Struthio camelus: one gene and its partners. The protein of the gene in region 2 interacts with the protein of the main gene of each other region in a biochemical or structural test. Links are inferred from orthologs where the notes say so. Each region holds a gene or a part of one and is shown on either strand. Other genes may lie near its edges. The genes, in order: SH2D1A, ERBB3, TNS2 and ABL2.

Region 1 (7,117 bases), on a different chromosome or scaffold from region 2:
GGATTATTGTGCCAAGGTAATGACACCAGTTTTTTCTTTCAGAAGAAAGCTATATCCTTTACTGTACTTCTACCCAATCTCTCTTGACGATGAATACTTTTTGACTTTTTTTCCACTTGATGGACGCTTAAGCATTTTCGAGCTGAAGCACAGACCAACATGCAGTGAACCCAAACGACCATTTGATTTGCCTTTCACAGAAACTTGGGAAGAGAAGGCAAAGTAGAAAACGTGCCGCAGGAAGGCGATGAAAATCTGGAGCAAAGACATTGACGTCAAGAGCTCTTTCAGCTGATGCAGAGAAACAAGAGAAACCTCTCCCCAGGGTGTACGGGTCAGCCTCTCATCGTGTCAGCACCGCTCACAGGAGTCCTCTCCAGCGGCACCGTGCCACCCGCTTTGCCTCATGCTCTGGGCTGGCCTCCAGCAGCCATTCGCCCTTAACAAGGATGGGAGCAGGGGAACTTGGGCGTTGGAGTGCACTAGGCTCCAAAAAACACATCCCAAGGAATAAACAATATTCCTGCTGAAGCAGCCTTGACCAGCACTGCAGGAAGGGCTGTGTTTTATGACAAAAACAGCAAGCAGAACAGAATAGTCAGGAAAGCCCATGAGACTTCAAGGGAGAGAAGTGACCCCATTATAATCCCAGGTCAAAACCCATCAGCCTCACACCCGCCTAACAGAGACTCAACAGTTCTGCTATAACAGAATCACAGAATCACAGAATCGTTTAGGTTGGCAGGGACCTCTGGAGATCATCTAGTCCAACCTCCCTGCTCAAGCAGGGTCACCTAGAGCATATTTCCCAGGATCACGTCCAGACAGCTTTTGAATATCTCCAGCGAAGGAGACTCCACCGCCTCTCTGGGCAACCTGTTCCAATGCTCTGTCACCCTCACAGTGAAGAAGTTTTTCCTCAGGTTCAGGTGGAACTTCCTGTGGTTCAGTTTCTGCCCGTTGCCTCTTGTCCTGTTGCTGGGCACCACGGAGAAGAGATTGGCCTCATCCTCTTGACACTCCCCCTTCAGATACTTGCACACGTTGATGAGATCCCCTCTCAGTCTTCTCTTCTCCAGGCTGAACAGGCCCAGCTCTTGCAGTCTTTCTTCAGAGGAGAGGTGCTCCAGCCCTCTAATCATCTTGGTAGCCCTCCGCTGGACTCTCTCCAGGAGTGCCATGTCTCTCTTGGACTGGGGAGCCCAGAACTGGGCACAGTACTCCAGGTGAGGCCTCACCAGGGCTGAGTAGAGGGGCAGGATCACCTCCCTCGACCTGCTGGCAACACTCTGCCTAATGCACCCCAGGAGACCATTGGCCTTCTTGGCCACAAGGGCACGCTGCTGGCTCATGTTTAACTTGTTGTCCACCAGCACTCCCAGGTCCTTCTCGGCAGAGCTACTTTCCAACAGGTCAACCCCCAGCCTGTACTGGTGCATGGGATTATTCCTGCCTAGGTGCAGGACCTTGCACTTGCCTTTGTTGAACTTCATGAGGTTCCTCTCCGCCCAGCTCTCCAGCCTGTCCAGGTCCCTCTGAATGGCAGCACAGTCTTCTGGTGTGTTAGCCTCTCCCCCCAGCTTAGTATCATCAGCAAACTTGCTGAACATTTCATTCTGAAACATTAGCCTCAGATAAAGGTATTTCTCAGTACGAATTGTGAAGTATTATTTCATGTTTAATTGCATTGATTTGCATTGGAAGCTTTAAACATCTGCCCAACGATTATCTTAAATTAATACGTCACCCAGAATACAATAAACCATTCTTGACGTCAGTGCCTACAAGGAGGTGATTCTCCTACATTAGAGGAACTGGAAGAAAATAAGAAAAATATCCTTAAAATGCCAGCATGTGTGTCCAGGCTGCTGCACTTAAACAGGGGGAAAATTACACAAGTAGAATTACCACTAAAGTAGAAAAAAGACTTTGGAGAGCAAAGATGCACATGGTGCTCATGCAGGGACGCACGTTCTTATGGTGGTGACCTCCAGCACCACCGTCCCAGCTGGCTCGCGGCCACGTGGCATTGTGGGCTGCCCCAGCCGGCAGCACAGCCCGAGCATGCCTTTTCCTCAGGGCTGAGCACCAAGTGCTGGGGGCACGGTGGGGCAGTGGCGGTGGTGGCTTGTTTTACTGCTGACAGCATTAAGACCTGCTGCGTTTCTGGGCTGTTGCTCCTCCTTCCATTGTATCCCGATGAAAACAACGTTTTCACTTACAAAGAGAACGTCAGCAAATATTTTTAATAACTAAACTTCATACTTTCCCTATCCTTGTTCTTAAAAAAAAAAAAAAAAGAAGAAGTCTAACCATTGAAAAACAAAAAAACAGCTAAAGGCATGGAAAATTTTGGATGAAGCAATTATGCTCTGATAAAGCTACAAGACACCATTATAAGCAGACAGCAACGCAAGGCAGCATTATAATGAGAATTGCTGAGCAATCATATTAATCAGCAGGGCTACCAGCTCGCCTCTTAGCAGCCGGGCCGTCTCGCAAAGGGGATGGCACATCGTGAATCCTCCGCAGAGACGCAGAGGAGATGAAAATGATGCGTGCCCTGGGCCCCCGAAATCCCCGCGAGGGGGAGAAGGCTGAAGCAAAGGAGAGCGATAACGGGATTTGAGTGTTCTGCGCTCCTTTGACAGCAAGGCGCTGCAGCGCATTTTATCTTTGTGAGGTCTTGCAGCAGTCGAGAGCTTTACAGCTCAAATCCCAGAGAGCAGACATTATATAATGCTTAGCTGGCAGCATCTTGCTGGATTTTACTACCACTGCAAAACTTCCCCCCGCACCGGTTTCAGCGCGATGGTCTTTATTTTGCCAAAAAGTGATTTTGAAACATACGCCGTGGTTTTCAGGGGCAGGATGAAAGAAGGCTCTGACTCACAGCGGTGTTCTCTGGTGGCGTTTCAAGGGTTGTCCTCCCAACGAGGAAAAGGTACGTCACCTCGTCGCAGCACGGCCCTGGCAGGAAGCACCTTGCCTGGAGGAACAACAGGAGCAAAGGGCCTCTCACCTCTTCGCCGCTGCCGTCGCCTGAGGAAGCGTTTAGACTAAGCCACCGACCCAGCAGCTCTCGAGGGTACTTGGCGGGAGCTGCTGCCCTTGCGCCGGTGAAGCAGGCCTGGCTGCGACTGGGGACGACTGCGGCTCCAAGGCTGGAGCCCACGTCCCCGCGCACGCGGCCTTTCCCCCTCTCCCAGGGAGCCCGTAGCCCTTTACGGTGCACAAATCACTTGATGCTTCTAGATTTCTATTTTACTGAGCTGTTCAGCCCAGGAAAACACACCGTTTCCCCGAAAGGCAGGTTGCAAAATAGAGCTGCGTTGCATAATGTAACTGGGGAAGCAAAGAAAAGGAACATCTTCCACCGGGCTGGGGCCTCCTTCCTTTCCCACAACACACATTTCAGCCCAGAGCCTTTCATATAAAATATCATCAAATAATTTACAGTAGATGTCAGCTGCAAGCTACAGCCAAAGAGAAGGTTTATTTAAGATACCATGTGGATTGTTGTACAAGATCCTGATGGATTATTTCTATCCGAGAATTTACAGATACTGCCGGAGTGTGGCCAACAATTTGGATTAGTTTAGATTAAACTCAGACTGGGTTGTTTCTTCTCCCTAAGGAAATCTCAGCTTTAGGTCTACTTTTTTTTTTTTTTAAAAGGAAAAATATAGACAAAAACAACTTTTATGCTTTCCAGCAGGTACCTACAGTGCTTCTTCCATCAATCACACCTTTGATATATGGAGGCAGAAGTGAGAGTTACTTCATTTAAAGCTCTCACACATAACTGGGTACATTTACATATTAATCAGACAGCTGAGATGCTAATCTCGCTATCTTATGGGCATCTGTAACCATTAGTCAAAGTCCGGGCGCCTGTTAAATACTCCGGGTGCCACAGAGCGCTCTGAAATCAAGATAAGCGCTGGTGACGAGAAAAGGCTCATATTTACAGTGCTCCTGCGGAGCGCGGGGCTGTTAGCTCTGCAAACACGAATATACGCAGATATCGAACCTCGAGAGCCTTCCCCCGGCACGAGCCTCAGGCAAGGCGACGCAATCCTACCTCGCTAAAGGGCTTAGCGCTTCCTCGGGAGGACGGTGTCTGCAGCTCAGTCTTCTCCAGGCTCTTCCCTGGCCTTTCCGCGGCACGGGGCACCCTCCGGCGCGGCACGCCGGGAGCGCCTGCCACGGCCCGGCGGGGCCGCGCGCTCGACGACCCGGCCCTTTCTGCTGGGCTAAGACCCGAGCCCGCGTTCCTCACCGCCTCGTGCTTCTGAAACACCGTTTCATGAGCCTGGCACGCGCGCCCAAGGTCAGGCGGCTCCCACAGCCCCTCGCCACCTTTTGTCTCTTTTTCTTTTCTTGTCATTTATTTATTTATTTAGTTATTTTGAAAATACAGGCTCATCAATACCAAAACTAGAAAACTCTGCAGTAACGTGCCACCCTTAACGAAACCCAGGCAGGAAATGTGGTAAAAGACGCTTGCACTAGTCTGAGCCAAGGGGCCAAGCGGGTACCGAGGTGCCGGAGCCTTTCCCCATTTCCCCAGGCCGAACAGAAATTGCTGCGTGGCCCCGTTCGAGGGGGAGGAACCAGCGTTTATTCCCTTTGCCGCAGCAAGGGAGGAAACCGAGGAGGAGAAGCAGCTTCCTCCCCGCGGGCCAGCGAGACGCCCCAGGGCCCAGGAGGCTGGCGGCTCCCGGCGGACACGGCCGGAGCAGCCCCGCGCAGGACGTTTTGCAGTTACATTTGGTGGGGAAGGAAAGCCACCTCCTCAGCTGCTCCCGTAACAGCTACCGAAGCGACCAGCTCGGGCTGGCTGCAGCGGAGAAGGTGCCGGCTCCAGTCGGAGCTGCTGCTCGCTGCGGCGCAGGCAACGCGCGGCAGGCGTCCCAGGCAACCGCACGCGAGCTGTTGCCTTTTTTATTTTTTTGGCTTTACCTGTTAACTTTCCGGGTTATAAGTTTGCGAATCAACAGGCTCAACGCCCCAGCTCCCCCCCTCAGCCACCTCGCAAACGGCTTGGGAGTCTGACTCGTATCAGACCGCCTCGCTCAACTACGTCCTCGCCCTCCGACGAGGGCGGGCGGCGTGGCGAGAGGAAACCCGGCGGGCAGAGGGCTCTGCGCGGTGCCCGGCTCCACGCCGCCTGCCCCTTCGCCTGCCCCGGGCCGCACGACCCCCGCCAGCCGCTGCCGGGTCGAACGCTGCACGTCAGTTACACACCGACAGCCACAGGCTGCAACAAAAAACATAAACATATAATAATTGCTCCTGCTGAGGAAGTCACCTGTGGTGCCGTTTCCTTTTTGCAGAACCGTCACAGTTTACGCTTCCTGAGCTTCAATTAAACAAAGGGAAAAATAGGGCGGGCGGCTGGGGCGGCGCCGCGCCACAACGCGCTGACGCGCCTTGGTTCGCGCTGCAGCTTTGTATTTGTTGCTTTCCCCGGGCTAAACGGGGGGCAAGCTCGGCGCTAACCCCCGCGGCGTCGGCGCGGCTTTCCCTCTCCCATGAGCGAGCGGCCGCGGCGGCGATGGCGGCGCGGTCCCGGCCCGGCTGCACAGGCGGCCGCGCAGCGGGCCACCCCGCCTGCCCCGGCCCCCGTCTTGCCGAAACGGGGAACCTGCTCGGCCCGGCAGCGTCGCCTGCTTGCAGCGCGTTTGCGAGTCACCCCTGCAACAGCAAGGACCGGCGCAGGCCGCCGCGGTTTTTCCAAGGGGGATGAGGGCCAGGAAGAGATTAAGGGGCGACGGAGTGGGAGAAGAGGGAGAATTCAAAGCTTTTACAAAAGAACGTGCCTTTTAGAAAGCAAGCGTCAGACTAAAATTAAAACCAAGCAGCAGGCCACGTAATTCCCAGCCCTGTGGCCAGGGAGAAGAGCAGGCTCAGTGGTAAGTCTCAGGCTCACAAGGAGGCTACTTTCAAAATATTCTTAAATATCGAATCATTAGGAAAGTCTTTTTTTTTTTTTTTTTTTTTAACAGGGAGGCACCTGAACGCCAAGCAGTGGCAGGCTGGGTTTAGGTTTTTCATTGGAGAGAGCGATTTAGGCACCTCCATCTCCCGCTGCAGGCCAAATAGCAAGACACGCAGTCGGAAGACCCTCCCCACCACAGGTTTCGGTCCCACTTCTTTGCCAAAACCTGGCTCTGTGTGCCCAAACCTCCCTCCTGCGCCCTGCCCGTGGTGCCGCCGAAGTGGGGGAGAGCCGGCGGCACGTGGTGGTATGTTCGTCCCCAGGCTCCCGTTCACAGCTGTTACCTCGCTGGGTGTTTCGCGCGGCGGCGAGCGTCTGCGCGCGGGAGAGGAGCCAGCAGAGCGCCGGGCGCCCGGCCGGGGACGTCGCCCGCGCACAGCAGCCAAGCGCTCCAGGAGACGCGCGAAGCGGCCAGATCCTGCTCAAGCGTCGAGAGCAAACAAAACTCGGTCCCGGGGAGCGACTGCTATCGTTACAAGGCTCTCGCCTGTAACGCCTGCATCGCCTCCGCTCCCGATCTCGCCGTCAGGCCACGGCGAACGGGATCCACTAACAGCCAAGACTGGCCAGCTTCATCTCCTAGAGCAATTCATTCAGGAAGTGCAAATAGAGTGAGATTTGCTGTTTGAAATGCCATCCGGTGGTTGAACGGATGTTGACATAGCCACGGCGTCCCCAGCCATTTACTCGTTCCCTGGCACGCGCTAAAGAGTAAAATTCACTCTCATTTAAACCACAGAGCGCTTATACAGCATTACAACAGGCAATGGCTCGTATACTCTTACCATACTCGCCGAACCCTTGCTCTTACCGTGATCACTAATCGAAGGTTTACCCAGTTTCCACGGCCTCTGTCATCACTGCCACTCACTCGTTTGAAACGCTTGTTTTAAAGTCACAATTCGTTAAGAGACCAGCTGGATTTCTCAAGCAAGATTTGATGCAGCTTGTATCTTGTTTGCCCAATGACTTGGTCACTTTGCTCTTAAGGCTGTGCAGGTCCTCTGGCCTCCCCGGGGCACAGGGCTGTGCACACAGCAGACAGGTTGTGGGGTGAGTGTCCTTAATGGATAAATCAACCTAGAAACACAAGACAAAGCGACTTCTTGGGTC
Region 2 (7,814 bases):
TCATCGGGGAAGGGGCTATAAAAAGGTCCCAGCTGCCTCGCGGGCTGCGGGAGGGTGGACGGGCTCGGCCCAGCCCCGACGCCCTGGGGATGGGCACAGCTGGGAGAGCACCGAGTTGGGGCGCTGGGAAATCCCAGAGGCACCGGGGGGCAAAGGGAGGGTGGGGGGAGCTGGGACCGGATGCCTGGGCCCCGAGCCATGCGGGGGGGGGGGGCAGGGAGCAGAGCGGGGCCGGCGCGGGGCAGCGGGACCCCGGGAATCCCGTGGGCAGCAGTGCGGCCGGGAACAAGTGGCACTTTGAGACGACGCCGGTGAATCATTAACCGCGGCACAAAAGGCCTCGCGGGCCGGATCCAGGGGCCCCGGGCCGCCCCGCTGCTGGGGAAACTGAGGCACGGGGGGGGTGGGGGGGGGCCAGGCGTCTGGGGCCGTGGCAGCCCCTGGGCTGCACCTGCCTCCGGCGGCCCCTGGGCCCCCGGCGTGCGGCGTCGCCCGGCCGGGCGTTATCAGCGCGGGGCCCCGCTGGCAGCTCCGGCACGCCGCCGCTATCTGCCGCATGCCAGCGCGCCGCCCGCGAGGCCCCGCGCCACCGCCGCCAGGAGGGCCCAGGCGTCCGGGCCCCCCCTCTCCTGCTCCGGGAAGGCTGGGGGGGAGAAGCGGGTCCCCGACCCGCCGGCTCTCGGCGGCACAAAGGGGGTCTGTGTGCGCGGGGCGGCCGCTGCCGCGGGGCCGGATCCCGGCCCCGAACAAAGGGGCACAGAGCTGGCGCCGGGCACCGGCCCCAGCCGGCCCCGCACGGGGACGGGGACCGGGGCGGGGGGACGGGCTGGGAGGTGGCGGAGCAGGGCTGCCCCCGCGGGCCGGGCACCTGCAGCTCCCGGGGCAGGAGCTCCCCGCGGCCCCCGGGCACGCCAACCCCGTGCACACCGGTCTCTAGCCCCCGTGTGAGCTGGCCCCGGGTGCGCCAACCCCGTGCACGCTCGTCCCCGGCCCTGGTGCGAGCTGGCCCCGGGCGCGCCAACCCCGTGCACGCTCGTCCCCGGCCCTGGTGCGAGTCCGTCCCGGGCACGCCAACCCCGTGCACGCTCGTCCCCGGCCCTGGTGCGAGCTGGCCCCGGGCACGCCAACCCCGTGCACGCTCGTCCCCGGCCCTGGTGCGAGCTGGCCCCGGGCGCGCCAACCCCGTGCACGCTCGTCCCCGGCCCTGGTGCGAGCTGGCCCCGGGCGCGCCAACCCCGTGCACGCTCGTCCCCGGCCCTGGTGCGAGTCCGTCCCGGGCACGCCAACCCCGTGCACGCTCGTCCCCGGCCCTGGTGCGAGCTGGCCCCGGGCACGCCAACCCCGTGCACGCTCGTCCCCGGCCCTGGTGCGAGCTGGCCCCGGGCGCGCCAACCCCGTGCACGCTCGTCCCCGGCCCTGGTGCGAGCTGGCCCCGGGCGCGCCAACCCCGTGCACGCTCGTCCCCGGCCCTGGTGCGAGTCCGTCCCGGGCACGCCAACCCCGTGCACGCTCGTCCCCGGCCCTGGTGCGAGCCCGTCCCGGGCACGCCAACCCCGTGCACGCTCGTCCCCGGCCCTGGTGCGAGTCTGTCCCGGGCACGCCAACCCCGTGCACGCTCGTCCCCGGCCCTGGTGCGAGCTGGCCCCGGGCGCGCCAACCCCGTGCACGCTCGTCCCCGGCCCTGGTGCGAGCTGGCCCCGGGCGCGCCAACCCCGTGCACGCTCGTCCCCGGCCCCCGTGCGAGCCCGTCCCGGGCTGCCATGCAAACCCGCCCCCTGCGATGCAGCCCCCGGCCCCCGTGCAAGCCAACCGCCGCGCACCCTGGCCCCCCGTGCACGCTGGCCCCCCGTGCATCGCTGGCGGCACGCGGCCGGGCCCTGGCGCACCGAGGTGCCGGCGACGGGGCCCTGTTTATTCCTCCCTTTCTCCCCTTCCCGAAACCGCCGCGCCCAGCAACGCGGATGACACAGGTTTCACACCCGTGCAGACACACACACACACGCACGGCGCGTTCGCACCACTGACGTGCGCCCGGCTCCACCTTCACGTCCAGCCCTCGGTGTTTTCATTTTGGGGCTGAAAAACAACTCCTGGGAGGCGCTTTCCTTCCGGGACCGTCCCCCCCCCTCCTCACTCCCCGACTCCGCTTTCTCCCGCCTTTCGCCTCCCCGCGACGGCGGGGCCGAGGCGAGATGCCCCCGTCGCGCCACCCGCCGCCCCGCAGCCCGGACGGGGCGGGCAGCGCCGGCCGGGGGGCAGCGCCGGCCGGGGGGGCCCGAGGGTCTCACGCTCCGGATTCCTGGTGGCCCGGGCGGCCCCGGAGCCTAAAATTAGCCGGCAGCTGCGGGGAGCACAGGTGCTGCTGCCGGGAGGGCGTCGAGCCCCCGGCCCCGGCTCGGCCCCCCCCCCGGTTTTCACACCCCCCCCTTCCCGCGCAGCCCCCGGGAGGGAGCCCCTCGGTCGTGGCGCCGGGGCGCAGCCGTCCTGGGCAAGGGGGGAGCCGCCGCCGCCGCCGCCGGTGCCAGCCCGGTGGGACTCCCCCCCCCGGCCCCGTCCTCGTCCCACCCCGGGAGCGTCGGGGGCACCGGGGGGCCCGACCGTCCCCGCGCTCCCGGTCCCCCCCCTCGGGGCATCCCGGCGCCTCCGCGCAGCCCCGGCGCGCCGAGCGCTGCCGCTGCCCCCCCGCAGCCCCGGTAACGTCGGGGGCACCGGAGCCGCCGTCCGTCCCTGCAGCCGCGCGAGCGCTGCCGCTGCCCCCGGAGCGGCCCGGCCGGGGCCGGGGCCGGTGCTCACCTGCCTGCGCGGAGCCGGCGGCCGGGCCGCAGAGCAGCAGCAGCGCCCAGGACAGGGCGCCGGGCGAGCGGGGCCGGAACCGGGAGCGGGATCGGGACCGGGAGCGGGATCGGGACCGGGAGCGAGACCGGGAGCGGGATGGGGCCATGTCGGCGGCTGGGAGCGGAGCCCGGCGGGCTGCGGCGTGCCCGGGCGCGGCGGGGGGAATGCACCTGGCGCGGGGCCGGGCCGGGGCGGAGCGGGGCCGGGGCCGGGGCCGGGGCTGGGGCCGGGGCGGAGCGCAGCGGCGGCCCCCGGGGCGCCCCGGCCGCGCCCGCCCCGCCCCGCCGCCCCCTCGAGGGACCCAGGCGTCCGGCACCGCGCTCGGCGCTGCGCCCGCCCCGACGGGGCGAAACCTGGTCCCGCCGCGGCTCCCTCTGGGCTGGGGGGGGGGGGGGGCGGACTTGGCCCCCGCTGCAGCCCCTCGACCTCATCCAACCCCCTTCCCCCCCCCCAAGGATAAACCAGCCCCACCGCAGCCCCCTGGCCCCCTCGGGTCCCCCCACAGTGAAGCCTGGCCCCACTGCAGCCCCTCACACCCATCTGGCCCCCCAGGACCAACCTGGCCCCGCTGCAGCCCCTCAACCCCATCCGGCCCCCCAGGACCAACCTGGCCCCGCTGCAGCCCCTCAACCCCATCCAGCCCCCCAGGAGGAGCCTGGCCCCCTCAGGCCCCCCCACAGTGAAGCCTGGCCCCACTGCAGCCCCTCACACCCAATCAGCCCCCCAGGACCAACCTGGCCCCACTGCAGCCCTCCAACCCCATCCAGCCCCCCAGGACCAACCTGGCCCCACTGCAGCCCTCCAACCCCATCCAGCCCCCCAGGAGGAGCCTGGCCCCCTCAGGCCCCCCCACAGTGAAGCCTGGCCCCACTGCAGCCCCTCAACCCCATCCGGCCCCCCAGGACCAACCTGGCCCCTATCCAGCCCCCTAGCCACCTCGGGTCCCCCCACAGTGAAGCCTGGCCCCACTGCAGCCCCTCAACCCCATCCGGCCCCCCAGGACCAACCTGGCCCCACTGCAGCCCCCCCCACCCTCTCCTGCCTCCCACAGCCGAGATCTGGCCCCACTGCAGCCCCTCTGTCCCATCTAGCCCCCCAGGACACAGCTTGGCCTCACTGCAGCCCTCCAGCCCCTCACGCCCCCCAGGACAAACCCAGCCCCCCACCAGCCAGGGTCTTGCCCCCCCCCCCCAATAGGATTTGGGGCAGCCCCAGCCACCGCAGCCCCCGAGAGCTCAGGGACAGCCAGCGCCCTGCTCCAAGCAGCCCCCTAGACGAGGGACGCCCCAGAGGAGTGGGGCTGGGTGGGAGTTCCCCCCCCAGCTCAGACACGCAGGTGCGTGCACACACGCACACCTTCCCCCTCCCGCTGCCAACGGGCCGGGCGGCCCCGGCGAGCGCCAGCGGGGCAAAGAGCACCGGCACCTGCCTGTTGGACCAGGAAAACGAACCAGCCGCCGCTCGCGGGAACGCCCAGCGCAGGCCCTGGGCACAGGCAGCCGCCCCCGCCCCACAGCGGCCCCCCGTGGGGACAGGGACCCCCTTGCAAGAACGGGGCTGGGATGTCCCGCCATGCACGGATCCACCCCGGCCGCCAGCCCCACACACGCTCAGCCCGGCTCAGTGTGGAGTCCTTTATTGAGACTGTTTTCAGAAACGTTTTCAGCCGGAATCTCTTTACATGGGCTTGGGGGGAGGTCGCGGGGCAGCACCCTGCAAAGAGAAAGGGAGAGCGTTGGCGAGATTCGGGGGCAGAAAGTCCCCAGCAGACCAGGCAGAGCCACCCTCCGTGGGGCTGCCCCACAGCCGGAACAGCGTCCCCGATACGTACGGCGGGTCTGAACCTGGGCGGGGGGGTCCGGTCCTTGCGGGCCTCCCGGGAGCGGTTCCTCACCACCTTGCTGTGGATGGCGCAGCTGACGCAGTAATGGAGCTTCACGTACAGCTTGGGCAGCACGTAGGCTGGGGGGGGGGGGGGAGAGCGGGGTCAGGGGGAACCGCACGGGATCTCCGCCGGCGCAGACGGACCCCCAGCACTGGGGCCAGGCGAAGGGTTTGAGCTCTTTGCCCCACAGATCTGTCCCCCCCGCGTTGCGGTGCGCTCTGCTGTTCATCCCCAAAAGCCTGGGGCAAAACACGTCCCCTCCGCATCCCCGCGCGGGGGGTCGGCAGGCCATGGAGCACAGCAACGGCAGCGCAGCAGGTCACGGCTCCTCAGCGCTCCGTTAACCTCCTGCTCCTTTCCGAGCCAGCGCTACCCTGGGAGTCGGGAGCGCTGGGGGTCTGTCCCCACGTGAACGGCCGGCGGTACCCCCGCGGCTCGCGCGCGGAAGGCGACCAAGTTGCCTCCAGCCGCCTCCTACCGCCGCAGTGACCGAGGTCACTCCAGGCAACGGGAGCAGGATCACCCCTGAATCAACGGGAACCCAAGGCACCCACCCGCGGACCCCCTCGCGCCCTGGCCCTTACAGTCGAAGACGCTGGCCTCAGAGATGTCTCTGACTGCCGCGGCCTCGACAATGTTCCTGATGACAAACTTCTTGATCGCTTTGTCCTTGGGGACGCAGCGGGCGCAGTTGGTGCATCGGATGGGCTGCACGTGCCCACGGCCCTTCTTGGCCCGCCCGTTGTTCCTTCTCTTCTTCGTCTGGTGAGGAGAAGGCAGAGAGCGACGAATGAAGCCAAGGCGCGCTCCCAAGAGCGAGGCCCCTGTCTCCAGGCCGCAGGCCCCCAACCCTGAAGGACCCTCATCGCCTCAAGCCCTCCGCTGGGGATGCCTCACCCAGGATCCAGCCCCACCACAGACCCCTTTGGGGCTCCCCATCCCCTCCCCAACACCACCAGCTGCCCCAAACATCCCCATCACCCCCACCTATGCTGCCTCTGGCCTCCCCTAAACATCCTAAAAGCCCCATATGGGCTCCTCTCAACCCAGACACCACCCAAATGCCCCCCCCCCACCCAGAGGGCCTCCCGATTGCACCAGACGGGCTCCCTCGTACCCCCCTGCCCCCACATCGGCTCTCACAGTCTCCTATAGCCTCCTTCTGCCCCCCATGGCCCCACATCGGCTCTCAGTCTCCTATAGCCTCCCTCTGCCCCACATGGCCCCACATCGGCCCCCACCATCCCCTATAGCCTCCTTCTGCCCCCCATGGCCCCACATAGGCCCTCACCATCCCCTATAGCCTCCCTCTGCCCCACATCGGCCCTCACCGTCCCCTATAGCCTCCCTCTGCCCCCCATGGCCCCACATCGGCCCTCACCATCCCCTATAGCCTCCTTCTGCCCCCCTCACCCCACATCGGCCCTCACCGTCCCCTATAGCCTCCTTCTGCCCCCCACGGCCCCACATCGGCCCTCACCGTCCCCTATAGCCTCCCTCTGCCCCCCATGGCCCCACATCGGCCCTCACCGTCCCCTATAGCCTCCCTCTGCCCCCCATGGCCCCACATCAGCCCTCACCGTCCCCTATAGCCTCCCTCTGCCCCCCATGGCCCCACATCAGCCCTCACCGTCCCCTATAGCCTCCCTCTGCCCCCCTCGCCCCACATCGGCCCTCACCGTCCCCTATAGCCTCCCTCTGGCCCCCCCCGCCCCACATCGGCCCTCACCGTCCCCTATAGCCTCCCTCTGGCCCCCCCGCCCCCCATCGGCCCTCACCGTCCCCTATAGCCTCCCTCTGCCCCCCTCGCCCCCCATCGGCCCTCACCGTCCCCTATAGCCTCCCTCTGCCCCCCCATCGTCCCTCACCGTCCCCTATAGCCTCCCTCTGCCCCCCCATCGTCCCTCACCGTCCCCTATAGCCTCCCTCTGCCCCCCCATCGTCCCTCACCGTCCCCTATAGCCTCCCTCTGCCCCCCCATCGTCCCTCACCGTCCCCTATAGCCTCCCTCTGGCCCCCCATCGTCCCTCACCGTCCCCTATAGCCTCCCTCTGGCCCCCCCCGCCCCACATCGTCCCTCATAGCCCCCCACAGCCTTCTTCTGCCCCATGCCGCCCTACATAGGCCCTCACAGTTCCCCCCAGCCTCCCTCTGCCCCACATCGGCTCCCCCAGACCAGCCTCCCCCGATACCCAGAGACTTCCGGTACCCCCCCGGCCCCCGAGCAGGCCCCCCCGGCCCCCGCGGGCGGCGCTAAGGGCCCCCCGGACCCCCCAAACCCCCCGGGCCGCGCCGCCGCTCACCATCTTGGAGCCGAAAGAGGATCCGGCCCCCGCGCCGCCGCCCTTATATACCGCTCCTCCGCCCCGGAAGTGCCTCCGCCGCAGCCCCCCCCGGTCCCGCCGCTCCCTGCCGGCCCCGGACAGCCCCAGAGGGCCCCTGCGGCCGGCTCGGGGCGGCGGAGGCGGCGGTCGGTGGCTCCGCCGCGGCGGGGGGGGGGGGAGGAGGGGAACTACTTTTCCTTCGCGCCGCGCCCGCGCGGCGGAGCGATTCTACGCAACGTGCGGCGCGAGGCGTCTAGACGCGCACGCGCACCGCGGGCCACGTGCGGCCGCCCCGGCGCCGCGGGGCACGCTGGGAAATGTAGTCCTGGGCCGGGGGGCCTCCGAGCGGGCCGCGGGCGTCCTGCTCCCCCCGCAAAATCCCGAGAGACCCCCCCCAAAATCCGGCGGAGACCCTCTGAGCACCCCCTTAAAACCCCGGTGGGGGAGACCTCCAGCGTCCTGCCCCCCAAACGCTTGGGGAGGGACCCCCCCAGCGCCCCCCCACCCAAAATCGGGGGGGGGGAATACCCTGCCCCCCCAAATCCTAAGGGGGCCCATTGCCCTCCCCCCTCAAAATTCCCGGGGCCCCCCAGTGCCTTCCCTCCCCCCCACCCAAACCCTTGGGGAGGGACCCAGGCGTCCGGCCCCCCCATCCCTGGGGGGGGGGGAGACCCCCAGGCCCCCTCGGGAAGAAAACAGGGGCATTAAATTACTCATGTTTATTTATAACAGACCTTCAGCCAGTACAGTACAAAACTTACAGTAGTATA
Region 3 (7,103 bases), about 1.0 Mb from region 2:
GAGCGGGAGCGGAGCGCGGCGGCACCCGGGCGGGCGGGCCGACCCCGGGGGCGGGCGGCCGGGCCAGCCCCGGTTTCCGCACACACAATAGCCGCTTCCCGTGCGCCGAGGCCGCGGTGGGGGCCGCCACGGCGGGGGGGGGGGGGGGGGTGAGGCCGCGCCGCCCCGCTCCGCTCGGCGGCCGGCTGAGGCCGCGCGCTGTCGTGACACTGATGGCGCCGCTGCCTCCGTTTCGCCGCCGGCCGCCCAGGGAGCCTTCGCTCCCCCCCTCCCCCGCCCCCACCTCCGCCCGTGCCTCAGTTTCCCCACCCATCCCCATCACTCCCCAGGCTCGGAATCCCCCCCCCCACCAAAAACACCCGTGGGAGCCGGGGGCAGCGGTGGGGCTGAGGGACCCAGGCGTCTGGCCTGGAGCCCCCGCTCATACCTTCATGGCAGCGGGACCCCCCGGTGCGGCCCGGCGGGCCGGGCGCCGAGCGGCGAGGCTGCCGCTGCTTCCTCCTCCTCCTCCTCCTTCCCCCCTTCTCCCTCCTTCCCTCCCTCCCTCCTTCCCTCCCTCCCGCTCCCGGCCCCTCCTGCCGCCGCCCCGGGGGTCACCGGCGGCCCGTTAACCCCTGCGGCCCCAGGCAGGACGGGGTTAACGGAGGGGGGGCACGGACGGGGGCGAGGGGCTGCCGCCAGCGAGGGGGACGGGGTCCCCCAGCCTGCGCCATCCAGCCTGGGCTCTATAAGTGCCATACGGCACCCTACGGCCCTGCGCCATCCAACCTGGGCTCTATAGGTGCCATATGGCACCCTACGGCCCTGCGCCATCCAGCCTGGGCTCTATAGGTGCCATATGGCACCCTACGGCCCTGCGCCATCCAACCTGGGCTCTATAGGTGCCATATGGCACCCTACAGCCCTGAGTCATCCAGCCTGGGCTCTATAGGTGCCATAGGGCTCCCTACGGCCCTGAGTCATCCAGCTTGGGCTCTATAGGTGCCATAGGGCTCCCTACAGCCCTGCACCATCCAGCCTGGGCTCTATAGGCACCATATAGCTCCCTAGGGCCCTGGGCCATATAGCACAGTGACAGACCCACATTGGCCTGTACAGCCCTGTTTCTCACCCACTTGGCCCAGTAAGCACCCGCTCCCGGCTGGCCGTACGGCGCCGGCCCTATAGCTCCGCCGTCCCTGGCAGCCTGCGCCCGGGCCGGGGCCGGGCAGTGCCGCCCGGAGCTGTGACCCTCCTGTTCCCCCGCCAAGTGCCCGTCAAAGCTGGCAGCGGACCCCGTGGAACCAGCGGGCTGAGTTTGCTGGGGCTCAGCCCGGCGCGCGGGTGGCGGGAGGACGGGCCCCGCGCCGGGGTGTCCCGGCGGGAAGAGGCTCTGCGGGGGGACGAGCCGCATGTGCGGGGACGCCTGGACTCTAGGAAGGAGGCGGCTGGGGAAGGGCTTCCCGTAAGGGCCGGCGGGCGGGCAGGCGGCGTGAAGGGGACGGTGACTGCTGGGTTCCGGTGGCCGCAGGGGAAGGGCCCGGAGCCAGGCGCAGCCGCGGCTAGGTGCCCTGCGGGGCGGCCCTGGGGGAGAGGAGGGCCAGGTGCGGAGCCCATCCCCCTGGCGTCCCGCCTCGGGGTGGCAGGGGGTGATGGGTGGGCTGAGACTCCTGGTGGGGGCAGCTGGGACCCTGGGGCTGCCCTGCAGAGTCCTCGCCCCAGGGAGGGATGGAGGGATGGGGTGCGGGATGGGGTACGGGGTCGAGGGATGGGGTACAGGACGGAGGGATGGAGTGGAGGGATGGGGTTTAGGATGCGGGGAGAGGGAATGGGATGGAGGGATGGGGTTTGGGATGCGGGGAGAGGGTATGGGATGGAGGGATGGGGTTTGGGATGCGGGGAGAGGGAATGGGATGGAGGGATGGGGTTTGGGATGTGGGGAGAGGGAATGGGATGGAGGGATGGGGTTTGGGATGCGGGGAGAGGGTATGGGATGGAGGGATGGAGTAGAGGCATGAGGTTTAGGATGTAGGGAGAGGGTATGAGATGGAGGGGTGGGGTTAGGGATAGAAGGATGGGATGGATGGAAGGTTTGGGATGGAAGGATGGGGAATGGGATGAAGGGAGATGGTTAGGGATGGAGGAAGAGGACATGGGATGGAGGGATAGGGTGGAGGGATGGGGTTTGGGATGCAGGGACAGGGTATGAGGGAGGGATGGGGTTGGGGGTGGAAGGATGGGTTTGGGATGGACAGTTGGGGTATGGGATGGAGGAACAGGATATGGGACGGAGGGCTGGGGTGGAGGGATGGGGTTTAGGATGCAGGGACAGGGTGTGGGACGGAGGCCCTGGGTTTGGGACGCAGGGCTGCGATAGCTGCACCCGCTCTCAGCTTTCCTGGGGGAATTTCCCCTTTCCCCACCATGTCCTGGGGAGGAGGTGGCCCTGGGCATGGGGCCGGGGGCTGCGGAGCTGCCCGGCACCCCCTCGCCAGGCAGCGCGAGCAGACAGAGCCGGGGAAACCGAGGCACGGAGCAGGGAAGCGAGGAGGGAGGAAGCGGGAGGACCCAGGCGTCCGGGCCTCGGCCCAGCTGCGCAGCAGCCAGCCTCGCTCCCGGCCGGCTCTTCCTGGTTCCGGCTCTCGCCGTGAGATCGGCCTTGCCGAAATCACAGCTGGGAGGTGGAGGGGGGGGGGAAGAGCTCGGCTCTTCCCCCTCCCCTCACCTCCACTGACATCCCTCCTCCGGCTGGCGGCAGGAGGGCGACCATCCCCCTGGCCTCAGGGCTGCAGCCAGCCGAACCAGGGTGGCCCGGCTCTCCGGGCCTCGTCTGCCACCCGGGGCTGCGGCTGGGGCACCCCCCCCCGCCCCGGCACCCTCGGGTCCTCCTCGCCCCGCGGGGTAACACACCTTGGGCGGCCGTCGCGTCCCCGCGCCCTGGCGCCCGGCGGGCAGAGCGCAGCAGGGCCGTGCCCAGCACCGGGCGCCTCCTCCCCGGCCCATGGGTTCCTCCCGCCGCCGCCGCCACCGCCGCCGCCGCCTCCTGCAGTTTATTATTTTTTCCCCTTCTTTTCCCTCCTTCCGAGCGCTTTTTTTTTTTTTTTTTTGCCTCCTTCTTCTCGAGGATCTTGGAAACCGCGGTAAAAACTCCACCTCCTCCGGCGGCCTCCTCCTCCTCTTCTTCCTCTGCCAGGGCACCCGGAGCGGTGCCAGCCCCGCGGTCCCCGGGGCGCAGGTGTTGGGGCCGGCAGGGGCCGCACCGCGGAGGGGGGCAGAGCCCGGGCCAACGGAGCCCGGGATTTCGGAGAGGGAGGAAGCCCGAGCGGGGATAATCGGAAACACTTTTCGGCTCGGCCGTGCTTCCGCGGCGGGAGATGCCCTGCCGGCGCCGCGGGGGGCTGCTTGCTTGCGGGTGGCCGAGTAAGGGCATCCCGGTCCCCGTCCCCTGGCTCAGGTGGCTCCTGGGTGTCCCCCCCCCACCCCGCTGCGATGGGCACCTTGACCGAAGACATCCCCAAAACGAGGATGCTGGAGGATGCACCAGGCAGGATGGGGGTTTCCCCTTCGTCGGGGGGCTAGCGACAGCCTGAGATGCAGGGATGCTCCCCGGCACCCTGACGTCCTCGAGCATCTCCGAGCAGCTGGCAAAGCCCAAGGAGGTGGCCAGCGGGACGGAGACGCGGGGCGGACGGTTTGCCAGCAAACCCCTCTCCTGGGCGGCTCGGAGCAGCGTCGTCGCCTCCCGGCGTGCCGCGGCCCGAGTTTCCTACCTGGAGAGAACCTGCTCCAGGTTTCCAACCGCGAGCTGCTTCGGCCGAGGAGCCGGTGCCTGGGCACTCGCGTGACCCCAAACCTCTCAGGGGCACCCGACGCCAACCAAAAAGGCCTTTAGAGATGCACACACCTCTCTCGCCCCGCGCCTGGGAAAAGCTGCTTCTCTGCAGCTCTGCCACCGCCAGCCCGTTCGCCCTCTCGTCCCTGCGCCTCTTTGCACCCCGGCCTCGGTTAGACTTGGCCCTCCGGGTCTGTCTTTCCAGCCTAGCTGGAAAGCCAGGGAGATGGGGAGGGGGGGAAGCAGGCAGCTCCCTGCCTGCTTCGGCACCCTCCTCCTCCTCCTCGGTGGCTCTTGCACTCATCAAACCCTCAACCCAAAGGCTGTTCACCTCTCCTGCTCCTCAAAGCCTCCTTGGAGCGGAGCCCGGAGCTCTGCTCCGCTACGGCCACCGGGCAAAACTTCCCCCGTGGCCGGAAAGCTCAGGGCCGGGAGAGGCAGCGGGTGCACCCCGTCCCGGCCCCAAAAGCCCGCGCCGGCGCTCCCCCCACCTCCGCTACCTTGCTAGCCGGGACGAGTTACCCCATGAAGAGAGAGCCCTGTTCGGGGCCCTCCCGCCCCCGGCCAGCCCGACGGCAAACGGGGCAGGCTGGAATGAGACTTGGCCCCAACATCACAGCAGCCGTCCAAGCCCCAGGAGCGAACACAGAGCCTCGATTGTACACGCCGCGAAGGCCCAGATAGTGTTGGTTTCTTCTGCAAAAACACGATCTGAAATCGGGCCCAAGGTGTGTGTGTTTTTTTGGTTTTTTTTTTTTTTTTTTTTAAAGAAACAGAGCCCACAAGGCGGGCCGTGTTCTCCTGCAAGGGCAGCAGCGCAAGGAGGGAGGCAGCGGCCCCAGGGACGGTTTCCAGCCCGGGGAGCACACAGAGAGCCCGGCTGGGGTAGGTCCTGCACCGACACCAGCTCCGGCTGCAGTTTTGCGCTCTGAGCAAGAAAGAGCAAGAAAGCGCGACTGCTGGAGTAGCTGGAGCCACCTCCATCTTCCCAGGCTTATCATCTCCAGCTTATAGATAGGAAGCCCAGACAGAGGCCGGATACAGGTACTTAATCCCATCAAGTTTTTGAGCAGGGAGCCAGGAATGAGATCAGCTGCTGGGATCGCGGCTCAGCCAAGCGGAGGCGGAGAGGTTTGCACAAGGGGGTAGGAGCTGATGCGGGGCCCGGCGCAAGCAGCCTCGAGATAAACAGCCGCAGGGCGAAGGCGCAGACAGGAGCCCGGCAGAGGCCCCCAAGCCTGGGCCTGTCCCGGCAGCACCCAGAAGGACCTTTCAGAGCACGATTAGCGCACGGAAACGCAAACAAGCGGCGGGAGCCTGCACGGGGGAGGCTCCGCGGTCGCGCCGCAGGAACTGCCGCGAGCGACTCCCTCCCGCGCTAGACACTGAGCGGCTTTATATAGTTGCAGCCAGCACAGTCAGGAACCAGCTAAACCGCAGGTTTAAACGGAGCACCCTTCGTAAATAGGATCGCATCAAATAGCTCATTTCCCTCTGCTCCCTGCGAGCGCCGACCACACTAGCAGGGTTAATTAAGCATTCGCTTAAAAGCAGGCCCGTTAACCAGGCGAGACAAGTCTCCCCGCGCACTAGAGCCCCTGGGTGCTCTGCACCCAAGCGCTGGCTTAGCACGGCCACTCCAGAGCTCAAAGTCCCAACCGGTCATAGGGACGTTGTGGAGCTCACAAGGAGACGGGGCGGTTTGGGCTCAGCGTGGGAACGTATCAGCGGAGAGAGGAGGAGACAGCAGCGAGAGGCAGCAGCTGACTGGGAGACAAGTCAACCCGCTCAGGGCTGGCGGAGAGGAGCAGATGCAGGCGCCCGGGAGGGGAGAGGACCAGTGACGCCTGTGATCTTCGCCCAGCCCAGGAGGAGCAGAAGAAACACCACGGTCTACAGGGGTATTTCTGGCAGGAGCAAGCACAGACCAGAAACGCGCCCAGAGGAGCTGCTAACGAATCTCACCGGTCTGCAGGGAGCTGCTTGCTGAAGGATGACGGGCTCGGTGCCACGGAGAGGAGATCAGAGCTGGCATTTGGGGCTCTCTGCACAGAGCATCTTACACAGTGGCTGCTGGGTTCCTCCTCCGCTTCTCTCCTGCCTGCTGCCAGAAGGCTTTGGGGATGTTTTGGATCAACATCCCTTTTGGGAGGCAGGAGGGCAGAGCCTGTCCCGCATCCAGGCCTTCGGTTGAGGATTACTTCCAGGACTGAGGTGGCACCACCAGCCCTGGAGGAGAAAAGGATGTTACTTAGCTTGCACCAAAGCTGCTCGTGATGCCAGACCTGGCTGCCAAGACCCTTCTCTGGCCCAGGTGGGTTTGCCGGAGTCGCCTTCCTTAACCAGAGCCCGGGAGCTGCTACCGGCAGAGGCCTGCGGCCGGATCCTGGCAGGATCTGCAAGGAGCAGAGGGAGGGTTAGGGACAGGCCAGGCTGGATTAAGGCCACCCTCTGGTGGCAGCAAGAAATCAGTGCTGACACAGGCAGAGACAAGGGACCTGCCACCTGCAGGGCCCAGTGAACCTTCCTTTAGGACAGGGTAAAGGGACTTAAAAGGAAGCTCTGAGGTTCTGCTTCTGGGAGAGGAGCGAGTCGAGAGCTTGGGCCCAGCCCGCTGCCAAGCGGCACCAGAGCAAGAGACTTGCAAATGATTTGGGCATTAAAGGGTATTTTAAAGATTAGTTTTATTGGAGGAAACAAACAAACAAAAAAAACCCAAAAACAAATCAAGGTGGGGGGGTTTACATAATAAAAGACATCTCCCAGGAAGTCCACTACAGATTACAAATCATTTTCATAGAAGATATTTTGTACAAATTTTACATGTTATCTTCAGAACGTGTAAAATGCAATGAGTGAACTTGTCCTGACAGCGGAGGGGTGGGAGCAGGCTGCTGTCTCCCTCCCCGGTGTGATTTAGCACTAAGTATCTCTGAGTAGAGCCCCTGCGGCACCGAGACCTACAGCAACACTGCGGTGGGAGTCCAGCTCTGCTCTTGGGGCAGAATTTGAAGCACAGTCTCTATATCCTGCCTACAGTACGTGCCGTCCCCTTGATGTCACGTTTTCTTGAACTAGCTAAAAAACTCCAAGTCACTGAAATAACTAATCAGCAGCCACTGCAGCCTCTCAGCAGCACGAAGGTGACACCAGGAAGAGATCTGCCAGTGGCTCTGGTGGGAGAGAGGCAAGGAAGCACGCAGGTCTCTCCTCCTCCCCTCTCCCCAAAAAAAGGGTGACAGTTGCCTCGTGAGCACATGCTCTGGAAGCCAGGTGAGCGTTGGCCACATCA
Region 4 (7,515 bases), on a different chromosome or scaffold from region 2:
ACTAAAACGTGGAGAAATGAAAAGATGCCCTGAGTCAAGAAAATCCTAACTGTGTTTCTCTTAAGCAAGTACAGGGCCCCACCTGCTGTACCATACTTTCCACAGATGTCCTTTCTGTCCTTCATCGTACACTTGTCTTGTAAGAGCAAGAACATAATAGCCATCTTTGCTACCAAAACGCTAAAAGATGATGTCATTAGTGAGGGTATTCTAGCTGCTAAGTCATGCTTAGCAGTCTATACAGCAGTTTTGCTTGCCTACTAAAGACTTAGGCTTCAGCATACTGAAAAGAACCAGGGTAAGCGCATAACTGAGACCTGCTCCTAACGTTGTGAATTTACAGTATTATTCTGGCTTTCAGTAATGTTTCTGCCAACGTGCCTTACAAAAAAATGCAAATGCGGTGAAGACAAACATAGTAAAACATGGTGTTGATGACTCTACAGCTAAAAGACGAAATACAACAGTAATCCTTAGCTTTAATTGCAGTAATAGCAGGTCAGACATTTCAGCAACTGTGGATTTCTGTTTTGGTTTTGAAGTTGATAGTGCTCCCTGAACTCAAAAGCTGTGATAACAGTGAGAATTTAAGAACCAGATTTAGTGCTGCACTCTTGTTTTGATAGATACTTACGTGTCAGCAGTCACAGCAGATGATATTTACATTTGGGCTGCCGGCTGCATGTTCCTTAATCTTTTTGCCTGCGCTCATTCTATTGAGCGAAGAAAAACATGTATTGTCACGAGCAGCCTTGTTCTATAAACACTGACATCTCTCTCCACCTAAAACATGCCAAATCAATGATGCTCTCAATAGCCAAACCAGTTCTTTAGGATCAGAGATGCATCAGCCCAACACCTATTTTCAACATGGTTGCCAAGGCAGGCAGGTTTCAGTTTATTATACCTTCCCAAACTCACGCATTACAGCAAGAAGCTGCCAAAATAAAGATAATGAGTAGAAAGCATAGAAAAGTTATAAAAGAGAGGGGATATGAAGTTCTGGGCCCCTCCTGAGAGAGGTTAGAGAAACGAATCACGTTGCACTTAACGCATCTGGTGTCGCTTCACAGCATCGAGCAGGGGAACGGCCGGGCAAGAACTACCCCGGTGCGAGGGCAGCTCTAACGCTCCAGCCGAAACGCAGCCGCCTGCCCGGCCGAGGGCTGCGGGGGCTCGAGAGCGAGGAGGGCGAGTGACAAGCGCCTCAGCAAACAAGAGAGACAAAGATGAGCTTGCGAGCACACGCACCGCTGCTCTCTGCGCACCGAGCCGGGGGCTGGGCGCCGCTGCAATGACAGCCGTGGGCACCGGCGGGGGGGGGGGGGGGGGGGGGCGCTTTCCCTCCGCGGGGGCCGGGGCGAGGTCGGGGTCCGGGTCCGTCGCCGCGCCCGGCGCTCCCCTCCCCCCCGCCAAGGCCACAACAACAACAAAAGCCGGGTGGGGGTGGTGGTGGTTGGGGGGGGGGGGGGAGAGGAGGGCGCCGCGGCCCCCTTCCCCCCCCCCTCCTCCCGGGACCCCCCCCCCCCCCCCGCCCCGGCGCGGCCCCTCACCGTGCTGCGTGAAGATGTTGAAGCCGCCCTCGGCCGTGCGGCCGGCCGCCTCCCGCCTGCGGCCCGCCGGCCTGGCCGCGCTGCTCCCGCGCAGTCCCCGCGCCGCCGGCGGCGGCTGCTGCTGCTGTGGCGGCGGCGGCGGCGCCTGGAGCCCGGCGCCCGGCTCCCCGACGCGGCCCACCTGCTGCCCCATCGCCGCGCTGCCGGCCGCGGCCCGCGCTCACATGCCGCCGCCGCTGCCCGGCCCGGCCCGGCCCGGCCCGGCCCCCCCTCCCCGCTCCTCCCCCCTCCCCCCCTCCCCGGCGCGGCGGCTGCCGCCCGCCTCGCCTCGCCGCCGCCGCCGGGCGCTGCGGCCTGGGACTCACGGACTCGCCCCCTCAGCCCCCGCCGCCGCCATCTTAACCACAGAGAGCTCCGGCAGCGGGGACAGAGCGGCTCCCGCAGCCACCTCCGGTCCTCCCACCACCCCCCCCCCCGCCGCCCCCTCGCCATGGCCGCCGTCCCGCTGCCTCGGCGCGGCCGGGGGTCGCCTGCCTTGCGCAGCGTTTCCCGCTGGCGGGGGGAGCCGTGCGGGGCCGGCGGGGGCAGTGCCGTTCCCGTCCCTTCGCTGCCATGTGTCGCTGCGCGGCCGAGGCCCGAGGCGGCCGCTGCCCGGCTCGGCCGAGCCGCTTCCTTGGCGGGTTTAGGGACAAAATGCAGGTGTCTTTGCTGCCGCGCCAGCTTCCTCACGCGTGTCCCCGCCTAACCCCCCGCCCGCGAGAGGATGTCCCCCGCGGGTGGGGGTCTGCAGGTCGGGCCGTGAGGGCCCCCCCGAAGACCCCCGGCTTGGCCTAAAAACTGAACCGCGACAAGCCTGCCGCCGGCTCCGACCCGAGTTTCTGCCTTTCCTACAAGCAAAGAATGAGGAATCCAAGCAGAGACGAGGTTTTAACCCCCCGGGGCCGCTTTCCCACCTGCTGGAGCGGGTTGGACCCGGCCTTGCAGAAGGGGAAGCCGTGCGGCGACGCTGCAGCAGCCTTGGCGCCCGGGCCGGCTCTCTCCTGCGGCGGGCGCGCTTCGTGTTTCGCTGCTCGCCGGCCCCAGCCCTCGTGGTGACGGGAGCTTTGACCTGCTCTCCTTGCCTTCCTTGGGTTCTGGGAGGCGCAGCGGCACGAACAACGCCAGCGCGGCGGCCAGGTGCGGTTGGCGGCCGCCTCTGGTCATCAGGCGGCCGAACCGCGCGCTCTGTTCTGCAAGTCGTTGGCGTGCGGTTAAACTGCCTCCTTTCGGCTTCTCTCCTGCCAGCAGAAGGCTTTCCAATTCAAAGCAGAGGAGGGGAGGTTTCACCCTGGAAAATAAAAAATAAAATAAAATAAAAAAACCAAACCCATCGGTCGTGTGGCTGTTTAGAGGACTGAGATGTTTGGAAGTATTTCTCTCTCCAAGCTAACTACAATTTCAGCAATGCATTGGCAATGTTTGCTGCTTCAGGGATGAGCCACAGTGGCGCTCATCTCAGTACCCGCCACATCACTAAGAACTGACGTGACAATGACAAGTTGGCTCCATAACACTCGGAGCCAGCCAGCCTCCAAGGAGCCACAGCAAGCGGCGTCCCGCTTCCTTTGTGTGGGTGTTCTGGGGCGGGAAGGTCAGGGAATACTCTGTGTGCTCCATGAAAGTGAGCTTTTTTACGCAAAATCTTTAGCAACACTTTTAAGGTCATAGTCTGCCTTCTCAGGGTCAAGAGGTGCTACCAAAGTGCTCTCCATACTGACATAAACTCAAATTGTGCCCTGCTGCAACAGCAATTCAGCCTGAAAAGGGGGTGGTTCATCCCACTGGGCTGGTGTGTGCTCTGACGCAGCCTAGAATAAATAAGAGTGAGGCAGCGCATCGGAGCCAGAAATGCTTTAACTTACTAAACCAATGGACTAAGAACATGGTGGAGATCAGGAATTACCGACAGGCTTGCTAATAACACACGACAAAACTGTTCTTAAAATAGCACTGGGAATATCTGGGATGTTGCATGGGGGTACGTCCCGCCGAGTCCCAGGACCTAGCTTGGACGTGACTATGTGAATATGAACAGAGGGTTTCTCTGCAAGACTCTTCAAATGGACAGTCTCAAGCAGGGTTGGCCCACATGGGTAAACTCTACAGTGGAGATATTTCCTGGTCTCATTCCAGCCAGAATTTGCAGGGCTGGCACTTAAAATGGTTTGCCTTGTAAACAAAATGTACGTTCTCTGGAGACTGTAGAGAGACAACAAACGTAAAACTGCCTTGTGCCATTTACAGTTGCCTTGTAGGATAGAACAGCTCTTCAAAATAAACAGAAAGCATATTTTTCTTTCCTAATGCCTTTTATACACAGTTCCCAAAGAACTATCCAGAGGAAGGCCATTAGCGTTTTAAAAGAAGATGTCAATATCAAGAGACTGTTATACTTAAGTGTGCTAAAGAGAATTGAGTTTCTTGCTGTTCTTATTCCTCAGATCTCATGAAATCCCTCATTCTCCGTTTCAGTAGCTTGTGTGCGTGTAACAGCTCAGCGTGGATTACGTTAACGTTCGATCGCATGGAACTTCTCTGACCCACAGACGCATCTTACTGGGCGTGGAGTCAGGTAGGGGCTTGTGAAACGGCCTGTTGCAAGGGGAAGGGGGCTACAGAATGGTTACTGTCCGCTAGCGTATAATTGTACTTTTAAGACCATGCTGTACCTTATGTAGTTAGCTTCTAAATTGGTGCCCCAGCCGTTGCTGGTTGTGGACAATGCGCTGAACAAGCGGTGCCCTCAGAATGTATGGTCCTTGGTCCTCTCAACAACATCTTTTTAATGTTATCGTTTCTGGTGGCCCCACACAACAGCAGGCGATGTCGAGCCCTGGTTGAGGACCACTCTTCTAGATTGTCTGCTAGAAGAGCAATGGGGATATAAATGAGAAACTCCCCAAACTGAAAATTACTTCTTGCTACTGAGTCACTGATGACATTGAGTCACACCATTTCTTATCATTAAAATGGGGCTGATAATTATTTACTTCAGAGGGTGCCATGGTTATAAATTATGCGACGATTGCAAGGTGCTTTGAAGAGGTAAAATCTGTATCAATGCTGCCTGCTATTATCAGCTGTGATGTTACCCAGCTCATGTAGCGTTTGGAAGAGGTTGTTTCTCAAAAGGTAATGTCTTTTGAAGAGGTCTGGCGGCATGCATTTAACTAGGCATCCTAGCAGTTAGTGCCCTCCTGACAGTTTTGGGCTTCCAGTCAATCTGTTGTCTCATGAGCTGTTCGAATAAGGGATAAAAGGACCGAGGAACAAAGGCAGCATTGAGATTACAGTGATATGCCTGACCAAAAATGTGATATTTCTAGAATCACTTCTGAACTGACTTGAAATATTCTCCACATATGCATTTCTCAAAGTTTCTTGAGCAACTCCGCATCCACAGCATGTTCCAAAAATCACACTGTCAAATAATCACTGGCTGAGCAGTGTTACATGCTCCGCGTTACATGTCACGGACTCATTGCTGTCACTGTCACTTGCCTGAAGTGTGGTTTCTGTGCCAGAAGCAGCCTGTGGATAAATTGGAGACTCCTGAGCCTAAGCATTGAGTCAACGGGGCAGCTCCTGTTTGTAGCTCCCGAAAAATTAACTAGTGCTACTCTGTCAGTGGCTTTAAAATTAATTCTGGGAGTAACCTTTTCTCTTCTTCCAGCTCATATTCCTTCTGTGTATCAAAGCTACACAGAGAAACAGACTTCTGTTAAACATTTAGCTGGTCTTGAGGACACGGATGGCATTAAGTGACGTATTTGTAAAGTGCCCAAGACAACGCAGGCCTGGTCACAACTGAGGCATTCGAAGAATTCTCAAGAGTAAAGGATACTGTTACATGCACTTAACACGTCAGGATTTTTTGCTTTTATTGCAATTCCAGAACAAATCCTGGAAATCAGGGCCGTCTAATTCCCCTGGGATGTCTGCAAAGGCAGTGTGTAATGTCCACTAGATGGCCCCTGGCGTTGCTGCTCAACGTACCTGGAAACACTCCGGCCTTCCCCTGCGCAACACCAAGCAGCGCCTTCTTAGTCTTAAGCAAGGGGTCCTGGGGAAAGACATTAAAAAATGCATAGATATAGAAAGATTTTAAAATCTAGACCGATAATGGCTTTGTGACATAAGGTTAGTTACTGAGCTCTCCACTAAACTCTGAAAGCTTTTAATTGCTGAGCCGTTTCAAAGGAGACCGTCATTTCTGGATGAAACATGCACAAGCACTCACTGTTTCCTCTTTGTCTGTCTTTGACTGACAGCTCTTAAAATGTACTGTCTACATGAATCTGTCATGGCACAGTAGTTAGTGTTTCATTGTTGCCTTAAAAGTTATTTTTAATCATTGTTATGCTTTAAATGAGAATTTGTGTACAGTGCATGAAAGATAGCTTGCGGTACTCACATGCCTGTTTAGTGAGGGTCTGTAAGCATAAAAGCTTTCCCAGGAAGTAGGGTTTTCGAACAGATTTAGCCCAACAGCACAGAGAGGTTCACATGCAGCCCTTGACTGATGAAATTTCCTCCGTGAATAGCTGTTCTTTCTTCCACCATAGTTACAATGCAAACTCTCCGTACACATACACCCTTCCCCAAAAAGCTGTATCACACCATCTCAGCCCTTCTCCCGAAAATCCTTCCGCCTTTCTAATGAAAGGTGCTACCAACCTTTCGTTATCTCTTTGATGCTGCTTCAGCATAATCCTCTTTCAGGCCGCTCTCTTCCGACACAACCGACTACTACTTTTTAAACATTGACATGCGGGGTAGAGAAAGCGAATCTGGGGCTGTGCGTGGAGGAATGAAAGGGCCTAGTTGTACTACATTGTAGTGGGAAAAAATCAGTGTGACTGTGTGTAGCGAGCTCACTACAGCATGTCAGGTACCCTGATTCTTCATTGATTTGCTCCTGTAGTTTTGTGTTAGGTATACTATGTGAGTGTCCAGCCTCACTGTGTCATAACAGTGTGTAACTGGTCATTGTGTATTTATCCATCAACTGCAAGTAAGAAAGCATGAACTGCTCTGAGGTTTTGCATGAATTATACTCATTATGGTACCTCTTCATCTCTTCATAGCCTCCGCCAGAGCAGAACTAGAGTGGGGGAACATGGAATAAGCAGAATATAGGACTTCTTCAGTAGCTGTTTTCCTGTCTGATATGTTTGTCTGAGTACTGCAGCTGCACGCCCTTCCCAAGCATCTGTTTAAGGCACGAATGGTTGTAGAAGGGTATGCTAATGAGAGCATTAGGAAAGTTGTTTGTTTGCCTCTTTCTGCGGAAAATGATGCCTCTACCAAGCAAAAACGATGACAAGTCTCTGCATCTGCTGGGAATTGCAAATTAGTACTCAGCTTGCACAGTGTGATCACTGATAAAGTACATATGCTGAGGTAATATGAGGTCCCTCGACAGCACTGGTGATGATTCAGGCTTTTAGGCATTTGCCTCCAGGCGAGTCAATAGAAGTGGGTTTTTTTTTTGCTACCAGAGTTCCAGGGTTTCCTTAATTCCTGTTTAGGAGCCTAATTTTTTTGGTTCCTAGTTTGAAATTTTACTGGCTCATTGAACAGTGAGGGATCTCTAGTTTGCAGATGGAAGCTTTTCTTCTGGTGTTTTCTGCTTTTATCTCCCTGAAAGGTTTGCAGCCAGAAAGCTGACATTTAAGGTATAGTAAATGCTTTGGAGCACGGTACTATAGCGTGTATCTCCATCAATGCATCTGAGGCACAACTCATCCCGTCTTAGATTCCTCTGATGACTACTCTACTGCATTTGAATTCGAAAAAGCACCACGATAGTCCAAAACAAAATAAGGCTACATTAGTCAGAGCTAAAATATTCTTAGAGGAGTCTCTCAGAAAATTTGGTACGCTTCCCTCTGATTTCGGCTTATGCGCGAGTTTGTGGAAG

The links.
Region 1: the proteins of ERBB3 (region 2) and SH2D1A form a complex in vitro, tested with the Homo sapiens proteins (2 studies listed by BioGRID and IntAct, with this or other methods). The link is inferred for Struthio camelus from reciprocal best matches to the Homo sapiens genes ERBB3 and SH2D1A.
Region 3: the proteins of ERBB3 (region 2) and TNS2 form a complex in vitro, tested with the Homo sapiens proteins (2 studies listed by BioGRID and IntAct, with this or other methods). The link is inferred for Struthio camelus from reciprocal best matches to the Homo sapiens genes ERBB3 and TNS2.
Region 4: the proteins of ERBB3 (region 2) and ABL2 form a complex in vitro, tested with the Homo sapiens proteins (2 studies listed by BioGRID and IntAct, with this or other methods). The link is inferred for Struthio camelus from reciprocal best matches to the Homo sapiens genes ERBB3 and ABL2.

What each region holds. Positions count from the first base shown.
Region 1 is NC_090952.1:10,915,870-10,922,986, forward strand, and holds the start of SH2D1A (SH2 domain-containing protein 1A), read right to left. Parts: upstream 3,005-7,117; 5' UTR 2,894-3,004; intron 1-2,893.
Region 2 is NC_090969.1:622,582-630,395, forward strand, and holds the start of ERBB3 (receptor tyrosine-protein kinase erbB-3), read right to left. Parts: upstream 3,005-7,814; 5' UTR 2,942-3,004; coding exon 2,794-2,941; intron 1-2,793. Other genes in the region: RPS26 (small ribosomal subunit protein eS26), read right to left, coding at 4,513-4,548, 4,667-4,797, 5,305-5,589, 6,791-6,830. UniProt on the Homo sapiens protein: Tyrosine-protein kinase that plays an essential role as cell surface receptor for neuregulins.
Region 3 is NC_090969.1:1,672,028-1,679,130, forward strand, and holds the start of TNS2 (tensin-2), read right to left. Parts: upstream 3,007-7,103; 5' UTR 2,983-3,006; coding exon 2,890-2,982; intron 534-2,889; exon of another isoform or gene 434-533; coding exon of another isoform or gene 428-433; intron 1-427. UniProt on the Homo sapiens protein: Tyrosine-protein phosphatase which regulates cell motility, proliferation and muscle-response to insulin. Phosphatase activity is mediated by binding to phosphatidylinositol-3,4,5-triphosphate (PtdIns(3,4,5)P3) via the SH2 domain.
Region 4 is NC_090949.1:6,364,069-6,371,583, forward strand, and holds the start of ABL2 (tyrosine-protein kinase ABL2), read right to left. Parts: upstream 3,014-7,515; 5' UTR 2,046-3,013; coding exon 1,919-2,045; intron 1-1,918. UniProt on the Homo sapiens protein: Non-receptor tyrosine-protein kinase that plays an ABL1-overlapping role in key processes linked to cell growth and survival such as cytoskeleton remodeling in response to extracellular stimuli, cell motility and adhesion and receptor endocytosis.